Drosophila melanogaster: one gene and its partner. The protein of the gene in region 1 interacts with the protein of each later gene in a pairwise test. Each region holds a gene or a part of one and is shown on either strand. Other genes may lie near its edges.

Region 1 (5,097 bases):
CACTGACACACATTATAGGCCAGCTCCGACTTTTGATCCGTTCTATTCGCTTCAAACTCATCCAATTCATAAGCGTGCTTCCTGCTTTCAGTCAAGATTAAATAAGAACATTTCCCCATCCAATTCCCCTTTCAGTAGTAAAATATCAAGCTCATTAAAAATTAACAACAATTAGGGAAATCGCTTAAAGAAATAAGAATTAGTAAAAGTAATTGTATGGCAAGCTTTTGCTTTTTCTACTTTTTATTTTATTAGCAATAAAAATACCTAATATTTATAGGAATATATGTAATATACAAGTTCGTCATAAGGAAGCCCCACTGCACATACATACCACACCACATTGTGTGCAACACATATAAATGTGAATGTTTATTCCATCTGACAACGGTTAGCGATAAGCCCAGCGATGTAGTCAATACAACAAACAATAAGGAACACTTTTGGAGTTTCGTTGTCGACTTTGTCATTATTTGCTTGCCGTTTGTTTACAAGCTGAAACATTGACACACACACATCAGCTGCATCAGCTGCTCGTGCCCCATCCCACCCACCAACAAGCCCACTCAGAATGCGTAACCCCCTTCAATGTGGAAGCTCCAACACCCATGGGTTCATCTGCGGGTTATCAGCAGCGGATTGCAACTAGAATTGGTTACAAAAAAAGCGAGCCACCGAAAAGGGAAAACAACATTCATCCGGCGGCGGCGAGAAAAGCAACCGCAAAAGTTCAATGCACATTTCGAGGTGAATTTGTTTTTGAGCTCTCGCTCGTCTCGGCCTGCAATTAATTACACAAATCGAACGAGCGTGTTTAACTTGTTTTCGCGTCTAACATGTCACGTAATTAGCCGTCTAGCTGCGAATCGAGCCGATATCGATGGGAGTTTGCCAAAAGAGTAGCCAATAGATACGGCTGCGCCATCGCCTGCGTTGCACTCAATTTGCTTGATTATTGCGCACAGACTTTGCATGAGTACGCGTATCTGACAGTTTGCCTATCTATCTGGCCGCTTGGCAGACGACCTTGCGCCGAATATGCAATTGATACGTACTTTGCACATATGAATATTAATAGGCGACCAGAGAGTTACTCGAGGAATTTCGCAAACTGAATTCCATTAGCCTCCAAGACTGTAGACTATATTGTAAAGTCAGTTGCACCGACAGACAGCAGATGCATAACCTAAGAGATAACCCTTAATCGCAAAAATCACTTGGTAAACACACAAAGCAACTTATAGAAACTATTTAGCACGTTTTGCAAAAAGTATTCCTTTTTAGTACTTCGCTGGAACTAACTAAAATGTAACGAGCATTAATGTAACGAACATTAAACCACCAAAATTCCTCATCATAAACACTTTTCTTTGAAATGCAAAACTTTCAGGCTTTAAGCTGTTCCTCATGCCTTAGTGAAAATAATGTATAGCTCATAATAAGAAATTAATCAATCGAATCATAGACTTAGAATATCCATCACTTCTCTTCACTTTTTTATATTACCCACCCCACCCAGACGAAAAATCTTGGTTGAGTCATTTGCAGAAAATGTATTTTATTGTACATATGCAACAATAAATATTGTGTACTACATGTGATTCGTAAGTTAAAAAACACTAAGCCAAGCTAAGAGAAAGTCAAACTTGTCGAATTTCAATCAAAATAAAGGTCTTTCTATGAAAGAATTGGTACTTCTATCAAAACCACTTCAATTATTCCCTTATAAACGTAATGTATTCTAATATTCCGGTATGCTGAAAGTTTAACCCAGGTCGATCTGTCTGATCTCCAAAATCCCCTTTCCAATTTGATAAAAGAGCGCACGCCACTGATAACAAACAGAGAGAGCAGCCGAACTAACAGAGCCCTAACAGCGTGGGGGCCTAACAGAGCCCCAACAGCTCCAAACAGCTGCGCTGCCGACGTCGACGTCGGCGCAGGCGAAAAGTTTTGGCTGTTTTCAGTTCGCCAGACCGTTTTGCGTATTCGTATTCGAATTGTTACCGTGTGCGGACTGTGCCGACGGGCAGCGGAACTCAGGCGGTGCAACTGTATGTGTGCGGTGCGTGAGAGTGTGTGTGTGTGAGTGCGAGTGGGGGGCGAGAGAGATAATATGTACATTCGGTGTATATATACACATGTGTATACGTATTATTTCTATACGCCGCGATCAGACAACAACAACAACACCAACAACAATGTGGGTCGTGCATATTGAACATATGCAAATAAAACAAAAACAGATAAATGCCAAAAATCTACTACACTTTTATAACCAAAACACACAGAGCGCGCAGAGAGAGCGGCAATAACGATAACAGCGGAGACAGACCACCCCCACAGCGAAGAGAGAGCGTAAGAGAGTGACGGTTAGAAGTATCTTTGAGATACACTAACACAAAGAGAACGCGTATCTGTATCTGCATCTGTAAATGTATCTTCTGGTCTGTGTTTTTCGACTCCTCGTATAAATTGAGCCGCACTTTGGTTATTCTCGAGTTTTTGCTGCTCAGACGTCGCTGTAAGTGCACGCGTCGCTCGACTTTTCGGTTCCGCTCCGCTCCGAATCGGTTTCGTTTTCGGTTCCCAATACCTCCAATATTCCCTGAAAGATACCTGTGTCCAAGAACCCAGTTGAATCCACACATTTTCGTCGTGCAAGTCACAGAAAAAAATTATTAAATTTCTAAACGCTCAATACAAATATTTTCGCACACTATAAAAATATTAAAAAAAAAAAAACTGGTTGACAAATTTGTCTGATCAAAAACCTAAAGAAACTTGTACGAAAACGAATAAAACTAATAACATATTAAATAATCTCGTTTTTGAAGTTCATTAAAACCACACTTAATCAATAAATACATCATTGTTAAGATCCTCAGACCATTTTAACAAAAAATTAAAGTGCCAATTCCATTTTCAGTGAGTGCTTGATAAATTTGTTGTATTGAAACCCAACCGCAAATACAATTTTCAATTGGCTGAGTGCGTGTCTTCAACGCACAAACATACGAATATAGCATTTAATATTGTTCATTATGTGTGCAATTAAATAAAAAAAATTGTGTGTGAAATAACAGAAAAACGAGTGCGGCGAACAGAGGCAGCAACAAATTAAACGCGTAAATTGCGTAGCAAATTCTGAATGAAAAAATTCAACAAAACCAGAAAGCGAAACAGGAGCGATAAGCGTAAGTACAGCTTTAATAAATAAATTGTATATGTTCATAAAATGACAACTTTTTGTGACAACTTAAGAACTTAGAGTTGGATGGCAATTTAGGTTTGTCAATAATAGAGTATAAGAGTATAAGAGCTTTGCTTAAGTGAATATTACTTAGAACCCCAATTAACAATTACTTCAACTTGCATATATATAGAATTTGTTTATTTGAAAATGTGTATTTCCCAAAAACAATTTTTGTATAATGCATTTAAGTCTTGTGGCGAAATAAAATTTCAAAGAGAACGATCAGTGCCAAACAAACATGCAGAACCAGAAATAAGCTCAAAATTCATGGAATAACCTGATTTGGTTTCTTTTCATTTAATTGGGCTAAAGAAATTTCCCTTTTCAATGCTTGCCCACAAGAGAAATGGAAAGAACGAAGCATTCTCTGATTGATGTGGGGAAAACAAAAACAGAAACCCCGAAAAGATATTTCGAAACAAAATAGAGAGGGGCAGACGATGTCTAAGCATTTATCTTTTGGTTCTTCGACGCGGTTCTTGTTATTTTTCTGTTTTCGAAGGGGGGGACTATTCGGGCGCCAGAGAAAGTGAAACATGTAATTTTTTGTTGGAAGGCCTACAAAAATCATACGCCGTATTGAGTGAAATCGTAATGGGCTAAGAAATTTCTTAAATACGAAGGTTAAAAGGGGGCAGAGCAATCAGAAAGCGCACAATACACACTCGGAAATAATGATAAGACGCGCGACGGAGAAGAGACCGGCCAAAGAATACGAAACACACTCCATTTCTCTGTCTTTTCTGCCTGCTTTACTCGGTTCCCGGGTAATTACATACATGCCGTAAAACCAAAATAAATACGCACAGATAAAGATGCACAGATGCAGATACAGATACCGGGTTGGGATGGGTTGGGTTCGGATGGGCTTTTTTCCCGCATTCTTTTTGTGTCCTCGCAAAACGAAAGCCGAATATCGGCGAAATGCATTAAGGCCGAACAAAAGCAAAAACGAAAACAGTCAATAAACGCTGTTTAATCAAATGTAAATGTTTATACCGCACCGCAACTATCGACTCAGAATTACCGACTTTCAGAGCGTCAGAGTTTCACTTTTGTACCTCAATCATATGAGTGTTTGTTCTGGCCAGAAACCAGCAAGAAACACTCTTTTCCGTCTGACCCACATCGGGTTCGTTATCACCGATTTTTATTATCCATTTATATATATTTGCTTGATCGCATTGAATACGTACACATTTACAGAGCCGTTTATTTTTTGGATTTCAAAATTAAACACTTAAAACGACGTTAACACACAGCAGGAAACGCATCTGAAAGTGACAGAGAAATCACTTTATTCTTTCTCGAATTGAAGTTATTTTTTTCGCAGCAAAATTAAAAATTCATGAAGTTACATTATTTTGCTCAGGTTCATAGAGAAAGTCAAATGAGTGCTACAATTTGAAATAAATTAATTCACTTCATTGTGGCTTCTTCCATTTCATTTTTGACTTCTATGTTTGGTTTACCTAAAAAATATGTTTAATTAATAGGTTTGTATATAAAATATACTACAATAATACGTATATAGTGCAACAGCTAAACTTAAAGCTAATGATTGTGTAAACATTAGATTAACAGAAATTTTCATTTAAATGGTTAAAATACCCATTTATGGTGTTTCCCATAACCAAAGTTTCGGAGCTAACTTTGTCTACCTCGCCATTCCCATATTTTTCCATTGTTTCCTTTTAACTTCATCGCCTCCGCCGACCAATAAATGATCAATGGCCCAAAGCATTTCGATTTCAGCCAAACTCATTTAATTTGTTTTTTGATTCCGCTCTTTTTTTCGCCATGCGCCCCAAGTCCAGAAAAATAAAGAAAGATACAAACAA
Region 2 (7,808 bases), 4.0 Mb from region 1:
AACGGTACCAAAGCAGGAACTCGTCCCGCTGTCGTGGTATGTCCATCTTCTTGATCTTGGCATATATGCGTTTGGGCGAAATTAGTGGCGAGCTGGCGGTCGAATTCTGGGCAGCAGTGGCCGTCAGCTTTGATACCTCTGCCAGTAGGGAGTCATTGATGACGGTGTTGTTGTGCGTCTGATTGCGAATGCGTTTGATAATGTACTCGATTAGTTCGTGATCCGGTGCCAGTTCTATGCTGGTCCCTGGTCCTGATCCCGAGCCAGAGGCTTGTTCTAGTTTTCCCTCGAGGATTTGCTGGTAAGGAAGACGCAATTATGAGTTAATCGATCCAGTTTACGAAAGCCTTTCTTACCTCTTCGTTCTCGGTCCTAAGAGAAGAGATAACAGCAGAAGCACTGTCCTCCATTTCATCCAGGTGCTGCCCGTTCTGTGGATTGGACAAACTTAGCTGCTTCACTGGCGTTCCTTTTTCGTCCTCGGGCCGATCGTTGTCTAGCTGCAGACGCATTACCTCTAGCGGGGTTTCACTGCGACTCTCGGTGGCCTCGGCGTCGCCAGTAGGTTCGTTCTCCTCCTGGTTAAGAGCCTTTCGCAAGCCGTGTGGTTCATGTGAGTGCTGCAGCTGCTGATTTTGTTGCTGTTGTTGTTGCTGCTGCTGCTGCTGCTGCTCGAAGAGTGTCTCCAGCCGGCGGTAGACATCCTCCTTGATTGATTCATAAAACTTTGTGGTGAACTTGTCGTTCTTCAGAGCGTTAACCAGCAGATTTCGATTCAGTTCCTCGGAGGCCGTTTCCTCGGTTTGCTCCATGGCATTTGATTCGTCCGCGGGCGATGCTTCTTGTCCGAGCGTAGGAGTAGTGTCCACTGGAGTAATCTGGGGTAGCTCGATGTAGTCCATGTAGTGAGCTGGAAGTTCGAAGTCGAAACGAAGATGTCGCTGCTGCAGAGGAGTAAGCGACACAGTCGAAGTGGTGGGCTTTGCTGGTACCTTGTTCCGCTGATACAGCGGACTGTTGCCATAGTTTACGTTCATGTTGAGATTGGAGGAGCTAGCCTGCTCGGACTCATCATCCCGCAGCGTGGAAAGCTGAGGACGGCGACGATTGCGACGTCGACCCGAGCCGAATATGACGTTATCATGGTTCTCCTCCACCTCGTCCACATCCTCATCGTCGTGGTCGCGAATGTGGCCTGCATCATCGCGCCAGTCCCTTTTTCTGCCCGAACTGCCGCTGTTGTTGAGATTATTGCTGCCATTGGAGCTGCTGCCATGCAAAGCGGTTAGTGGCGCCTCGAAAAAGTGACGACGCTGCTGCTGGTGGGTCAAACCACCACGCGTAGTAGGCGGAAGCAACTGGGGCGGCTGAAAGTAGCTGGGACGTGCCCGTTGTCGCCGATACTGCTGGAGGTCCACGTTCAGCTCCTCGTTGCTTTTATTTGATAAGAGATTTTGGCGCGAATGGCTGGAAGAGCGTACAGATATTAATGGGTTAATGCAAGCGGGTAGCAAAGAATCATGCAGTTGATAAACTAGCTAAATCTAGTGAGCGTTACTAAGTTAAGTTTTTCTATTCCATATATCCTTTTTAAATTGAATACACATCTTTTATAAATTAGCTTTGTTTACTGCCGAATAGGCACTTGCAAAACTTGGTCAGTACTTGGAGTTAGTCTTGGTTAGTCACTTTCAACTCTGTTAATGGGACACTTATCTGCAACGCGTGGTCGCACTTACCGGTGCACAGAATTGAAAATTAACTCTTCACAATAGTTTTATTTAATTTTTATTGCTTTTGACCCTTTTCCATCAAACAACCATTAATAAATCCAACACCAAAGTTATAAAGCATTACCTGCGGAAGTTGTCCCAGTAGTTGTTGGCTCTGTTTCCGGGTGGTACTTGATTGTTCAATGTAATACCGCCACCAGGTGCTCCTCCACCAGCTGCTCCCTCGGGCAGCGAGTGCAGATTGTTGGCATGCTGGTTCTGGGTTCGCAGATTCGAGTTGTTCTGATGTATCGTGTTGTTATGGTGGTTCATGAAGATGGGACCTGGACTTGAGCGGTAAGTAGGCGGCGACAGGGGTGTCTCGTTGTTGAAGTGCGTCGGCGGTGGCGGGGGAGCAGCATTGTTAAGGAACGGCTGCGCCTGATGCTGCTGCTGTTGATGATGATGCGATTCTGCCCCGCTACGATGACAGCTGCGCTGATAGTTACTAAAGGCGCTCTGGTGGGCACCAAAGTTAAATAGCTGCTCAGATTGAGCTCGACTGCTGCCCAGGCACAGATTGTTGGGCATCTGACCCATTCCAGGGCCCACCGGAGGCGGTACTGATTCCGAGCGCAAGCCGAAGCTGTGATCCTGGCATGCTACAACATTAAATCGATCCTGGAGCTGTGAAAAAACACTTGAATTAGTCTTTGATTAGGCTCTCTAATCTCATGGATTGTCTTACCGCATGTAGCTGGTGGTTGAGGTTGTCGATTTCGCGCTGTTGATGCCACAGTGCCTGGTTGCACTGGCACACAGAGTTGATAAGCATTTGCTGCGTCTGCATGAACTGCTGCAGCAGAACTGCGTCGGTAGAGGCATTCGATCCGGATCCATTTGAGGAGCCCCCTTGTTGGGCGGCTGGCAGCTTTTTAAACTCTGTGCCGGCACTGGAGCTCGGCTGACCGTAGACGGGCTGCTGTCCATGCCACGAACTTCCAGAGTTGTGTGATGCTGCTAGCGGATGCATAAAAATAAGCGTAAAACGAGGAAACTAATACATGAATTCAAGTTGGTAAAGTAAAGTTGGTAAATTTCCGCCTTTGTTGGTGGAATTAAAAACGTACCCCACATTCCAGGCACTGGTTGCATGGGGGGCGGCATGTACTGCGATCTATTGCTGCTGGATGGTATGCTGTCATTACCCAGGGATAGCGTATCAAGTGTCACATTCAGGTCATCTTCGTTTAGCGTCGACGGAGGAGCAGGCGGCGGTGGTGGTGGTGCCTGCTGTGGGGGAACGTTAGGTTGCTGACCTCGTCGTTGCTCCACCACTGTGTTGGCGGATGGAGCCCTCTTTAGGGTCGCTGAGGAAGCGGTACGTACGTTGGCGAAGTACTTATCGCTGTCAGTGTCGTCGTTTGCCTCGTCATCCGCCTCCGATGTGGTGTTGTTACTGGCTACGTAACGCTGCTCCAGTTCCCGCTGCTTCTGCTCGTATTCCGTTCGCAGGCGCTCGCACTGCGAGCGCAGTTCATCGCGCAGTTGTTCCTTGGTGGGCGTAGCCTGAAGAGAATTATCCACTTCGGATGGATCCTCTTCCTCGGTCATCCGCTGTCTCATGGGGGTGGGTGTTGGGGTAAGACTGCTTCTTTTAAGTGCATCATCGCCCATTTGAACAGCGGCGGCCGCCTGTTGTTTGCGTCGCTCAATCTCTGCCTTCAGGGCTAGGATACGGTCACGCTCCTTTTGCAAGCTTGCTGCTTCCGCTCTCAGTTCGCTCGTAACATCGTTCAGAGCGAATACGCGCTGGGCAATCTCGGCCGGCAATTCGCGCTCCACGCTAGTTCTTTCCTCACTACGCCGCTCTAAGGTGGAGCCCATGCTGGGAGTACTTTCTTCAATCTGGCTAACAGTGTACAGCATTCCCTTTAGTCTCGCCATCTGAGCCTTGAGTGCTTCTATATCTGCCGTCTTCTGGTTGATCATTGCCTGTGCGTGAAGTGCCCGTTGAGCAGCGTTGGCCGCCTCCTGGCGTATGATGGGTACGTTTCTCTGATACTCCACAGGAACAACACGCTCCTTGGGAGCCGCTGGGGCAGCCTCCTCTGGCTTGGGAGGAGGCGTGGGAGTCTCCTCTTTCTCTTTGATGACTCTAGCAGTCTCCCTGGCCGCACGGTTGATGCTGTTTAGTTCGTCCACCAGATTGCGCATATCCTCACGTTGGGTGCGCAGTGATTCCAGTTTCTCCTGCAGGGCTTCCTGCTCGGCCAGGATCTCGGGCCCATCATCGCCAAGCACCGTGCTCAGTTCGTTCTGGTTGTGTATAAAGGCGGTGAGATTCTTCATGCGCCCCACCAGCGACGCCATGTCGTCCTGTACCTGCTGCACGGACTCGTATTTGGGGGCCTCTCCCCCATTGACATTGTGGGGTAAGCTATCGGCTTGCTGGCGCAGCCGCTCCATCTCGTTAAGGTGAGTCTTGGCCAAATTTTGGATTTGTAACAGCTTCGCCTGTTCGTCGTGCAGGTGCTGCATGTTCCTATTGGAGGCTTCCAAGCGCTGCTGCAACTCATCGAAGCTGGGCGTGGTATCGGGCGTGGGCGTTTCCAAGACGCTGTGTAGGGACTGAATGGATTGGGCGCGGTTGTCGCTCATCTGAAAGGTACAAATGGTTTGAGTACTAGAAGGCAGACTTTTGGTTTTATTAACCAACTAACCTCGCTTAATGCAACATCCTCCAAGCTGGTCGAATTGACTACGCCTTCACCCTGATCCGAATTTGGGTTGATTTCGTGCACCATGTTGTTCGTCTGGGGCAAGAATTAAAGGATTTAGTTTCATTTATTATTACGATATAAAAAATGTTATTATCAATCTTATAAATGTTATAAATGTACGGCTCACTTGAAGTTCCTGACACAAGCTTTCAAACTCACCTCTACAACTTTCCTACTCGGTTGATATCTGCTATTCAGGTTCTCGTCTAATCCTAGCAGGGCGCGTAACACGTCAACCTGCGAGCGAAAACCTTCGGTTCTGGGAGCAAAATGGTGTACACCAAGAAGTCGGTGAACGAGTTGTTGCAGTCCAGCGGGGGTCAGTGGCGGTGCCTGCTCCTCGTTGCCACTCAAATTGCCGTTTCCGTTGCTGGTAGTTGCGTTCGGTATGACCACACCTACTGTGGCATTCGGAGGCGTCGATTGACGCAAACGCAGCAAAGCCGTCGAAGATGAGGGGGCGCCTGTGCTATTAGCTGACGAGGATGGCTGGTGCTGAACCCTCTGGACAGGACGGACGGGGAATCGATAGCGCTGCTGCTGTTCCTGCAGTTGCTCTGTAATGGAAAATAGCCAAAGATCAGTATGGATGTTTAGGTCCATTGCTAAATACTGCGCTGCGAACTACATCATCTCAGTGGGCGTTTATTTTCGTGCGCATCTTATTTATAGAACATGAACTGGCGCACCGATCTCTGTGTGGGCCAGGCCGATCACTTTGCCAGGTGCGGATATTGGAAATTGCTCAATTAAATGTGTATATTCCTCAACGGTTTCAGGACCCATTACCTGCTGTATCGTAGTTGCCGTGTTCGGCGGCCAACTGACGCAGTGCCTCGCGCTGCTGTTGCTGTTGTGCAGGCGACCTGTGATCCTTGCTAGACAGATGCTGCTCCGCCGGCGATCGATTCTTGGCGTTGGTGATGCGTGCTCGCTGGAGGAGATCCTTTAAGCAACAGTAAATGAAGATTAGCAGGAAAACCAGCACGAGGATTGCGGTAATTTTGCTGATTTTAGGTCTATATATATATATCTATTTCAGATATATATATATATATGTATAAGGGCGCTGCTCTGGCCGATCGAAATTCGTTGTCCGCAGTGGTTGAGTTCGCATTCGCTACTGAGCCAGCGGCTAACGAATTTCCGCAGGTCGCGATGAGTGTAAAGTGTATTTATAAAACCAAGAAGAGAAAGGTCTTGGTGTCTTCTCTTCGAGAAGATTTGCCATGGCAACCAGACGTCCGTCTAACTTACATTCAGAGTTTTCAGCGTCTCCCGCTGCAGCGTCTCTGGCTCGACAAGTTCCATGTCCGGTTCGCCCAGGTGCTCCTGCTGCCGGCGAGAGCGGGCCGACCGGCTGGATGTCACAGATGCACTCGACCCGGACGTGGGTGCTCCGTTTACAGGCGTTTGTTGTTTAGGCACCGCACCGGTTGCCCCGCCCACCGAGTTGTTGTTGCTGCTGCCATTGCTGCGGGCGCTGGCGTTGGCTTGGTCCACAACTACCTTGGGCGGCGGCGCCATTAGAAAATATATATATATATATTTGCGTACAAAAAACGACGCTACAAAATTGAAAAAACTCCTCTTTTTTGTACTCCCACTTTGTTTTTTTGCTTTGCGCACTCTGACAGCTGTTCCCAACCAGGGCTGGAAGCTAGTTAACAAGCCTACCAAGTTATGGTCACACTGGCAGCGGACGTTTTTTGAAATCGAATGTTTTCTAAAATTCAAAAATAAATATTATTTTTAGTTTAAAATAAAATGTATATCTGTAAAAAGTATTTTAAATGCTTTTGGTGTAGATAAACTAACGTTACTTGGTAATTTGATATCTTTTAAGGATAATTATTTATTTGGAGATTACTTTATAATATGTTCCTTGGATAATAAACATTATATGACTAGAGCCATTTTCCCTTTCAAGTTTGGACGTGCCTACTTTCCCTGCTTGCGCTGGATGATGTCCTCCTTGAGCGCACGAATCCGATCCCTCTCCGCCCGGAGTCCCACCGCTTGACCGCGTAGATCACTGGTGAAGTCCGTGAACATGTTAAGCATGGAATTCAGGAGCTCGGCGTTATCGGGAGCACTCGACGAGGTCGATGGATTCTCTTCTTGGGCACTCTCTACGGCCTCGCTGGCCACTCGGACTTCTGACGAGGTGGTCTGCCTGCTGGTCTGAACGGAGGTGGAGCTCTGGACCTGTACCGTTTGCCTGGAGGACATGTGCTCCTCGATCATCTTGGTGGTGTCCACCATGTTCTGCACGCGCTTAAACTGCGCCTTCAGGTTGGCGATCTCGTTTAGCTTCTCCTGCAGATAACTGGCCTGCTCCTCTTTGTCCTCCCCGCCCTCTTCCTCACCAGATGGTGCCTCTTCCCGGTTTGTGAACTCTCCAGAAGCACTGGCGGATGAAGCAACTGTTACTGTCTCCGATGAGGATTCAACGTGGGACTGAACCTCCTCCTCCTCGGTGGACTGCCGCACTTGTCGGCGCTGGGCATTCAGAAGGGTCAGCTCAGCGGCTCGTAAGCGCAGTGTCTCCATCTCCTCAAGCAACTGGCGGTGCTCCTCCTGCATCTCTTGCAGCTGTCTGTTGGAAGCAGCTAGGCGCTTAAAAAATACAAATAATTAGTTTTGAAAGCTTCAATAATGAAAAAATTGGTTTAAAAACATCATAGTTCAAAGACTACATTAGGGCATCAAAAGAAAAATGATTTTGTATATTATTATTAAAAAACTCTATTTTTTAGCTCACTGGTATAGAAAAAGCTTCGTACTTAAATTTCATTTCAACTGAAACATCTAGAGACTGTAGGCTTATTGGTGTGACTCATTCATTTTGTTGTCTAAAAAGAATGTGTCACGGTATTTATTTAACTTTACTGACTGTGTTTTCTTATTGTTTTAAAACACTTAAATACTAAGAGTTTTGCAATTTCCCGAAGACTCCAGCTTACCTCGCTCAAGGCGGCATTGTCCCCATTTTGAGGCCTATTCAGTTCGTTGACCATTTTCTGGGTTCCTGAGGAGAAGAGGGAATACTTGGTGTTATGTATATCGTGCACGTTGATTATTTTCTCAATACAAACAAAGGCCCATCGCAAGGCACTGTCTATAAATAAATGGCTCTTTGTTAAATTATTTTTCAGTTAGAATAGTGTCAGTCATCTTGGCATTTTTGAAGACAAAACTAACAAGTGCACTTATGAAAATGTACACCACAATACACCACATATATTATACTTGAAAATGCTACCTTTTAATCGTATATTCGAATCCTCCGAGCGATGAGCTGTGCGCACAA

Evidence for each region.
Region 2: the proteins of Oatp74D (region 1) and cmb interact in a two-hybrid assay, tested with the Drosophila melanogaster proteins (one large-scale study listed by BioGRID).

Annotation. Positions count from the first base shown.
Region 1 is NT_037436.4:17,485,136-17,490,232, forward strand, and holds the start of Oatp74D (organic anion transporting polypeptide 74D), read left to right. Parts: upstream 1-1,982; 5' UTR 1,983-2,054; exon of another isoform or gene 2,055-2,065; intron 2,066-2,498; exon of another isoform or gene 2,499-2,929; 5' UTR 2,930-3,197; intron 3,198-5,097. UniProt on the Drosophila melanogaster protein: Transporter that mediates the cellular uptake of ecdysteroids, including ecdysone, from the hemolymph.
Region 2 is NT_037436.4:13,440,933-13,448,740, reverse strand, and holds the start of cmb (combover), read right to left. Parts: upstream 6,148-7,808; 5' UTR 6,023-6,147; coding exon 5,753-6,022; intron 5,623-5,752; exon of another isoform or gene 5,442-5,622; coding exon 5,285-5,441; intron 5,053-5,284; coding exon 4,655-5,052; intron 4,529-4,654; coding exon 4,436-4,528; intron 4,374-4,435; coding exon 2,843-4,373; intron 2,733-2,842; coding exon of another isoform or gene 2,730-2,732; coding exon 2,461-2,729; intron 2,400-2,460; coding exon 1,858-2,399; coding exon of another isoform or gene 1,854-1,857; exon of another isoform or gene 1,780-1,853; intron 1,468-1,779; coding exon 357-1,467; intron 299-356; coding exon 1-298. Other genes in the region: CG14109 (uncharacterized protein), read right to left, coding at 6,437-7,114, 7,462-7,515.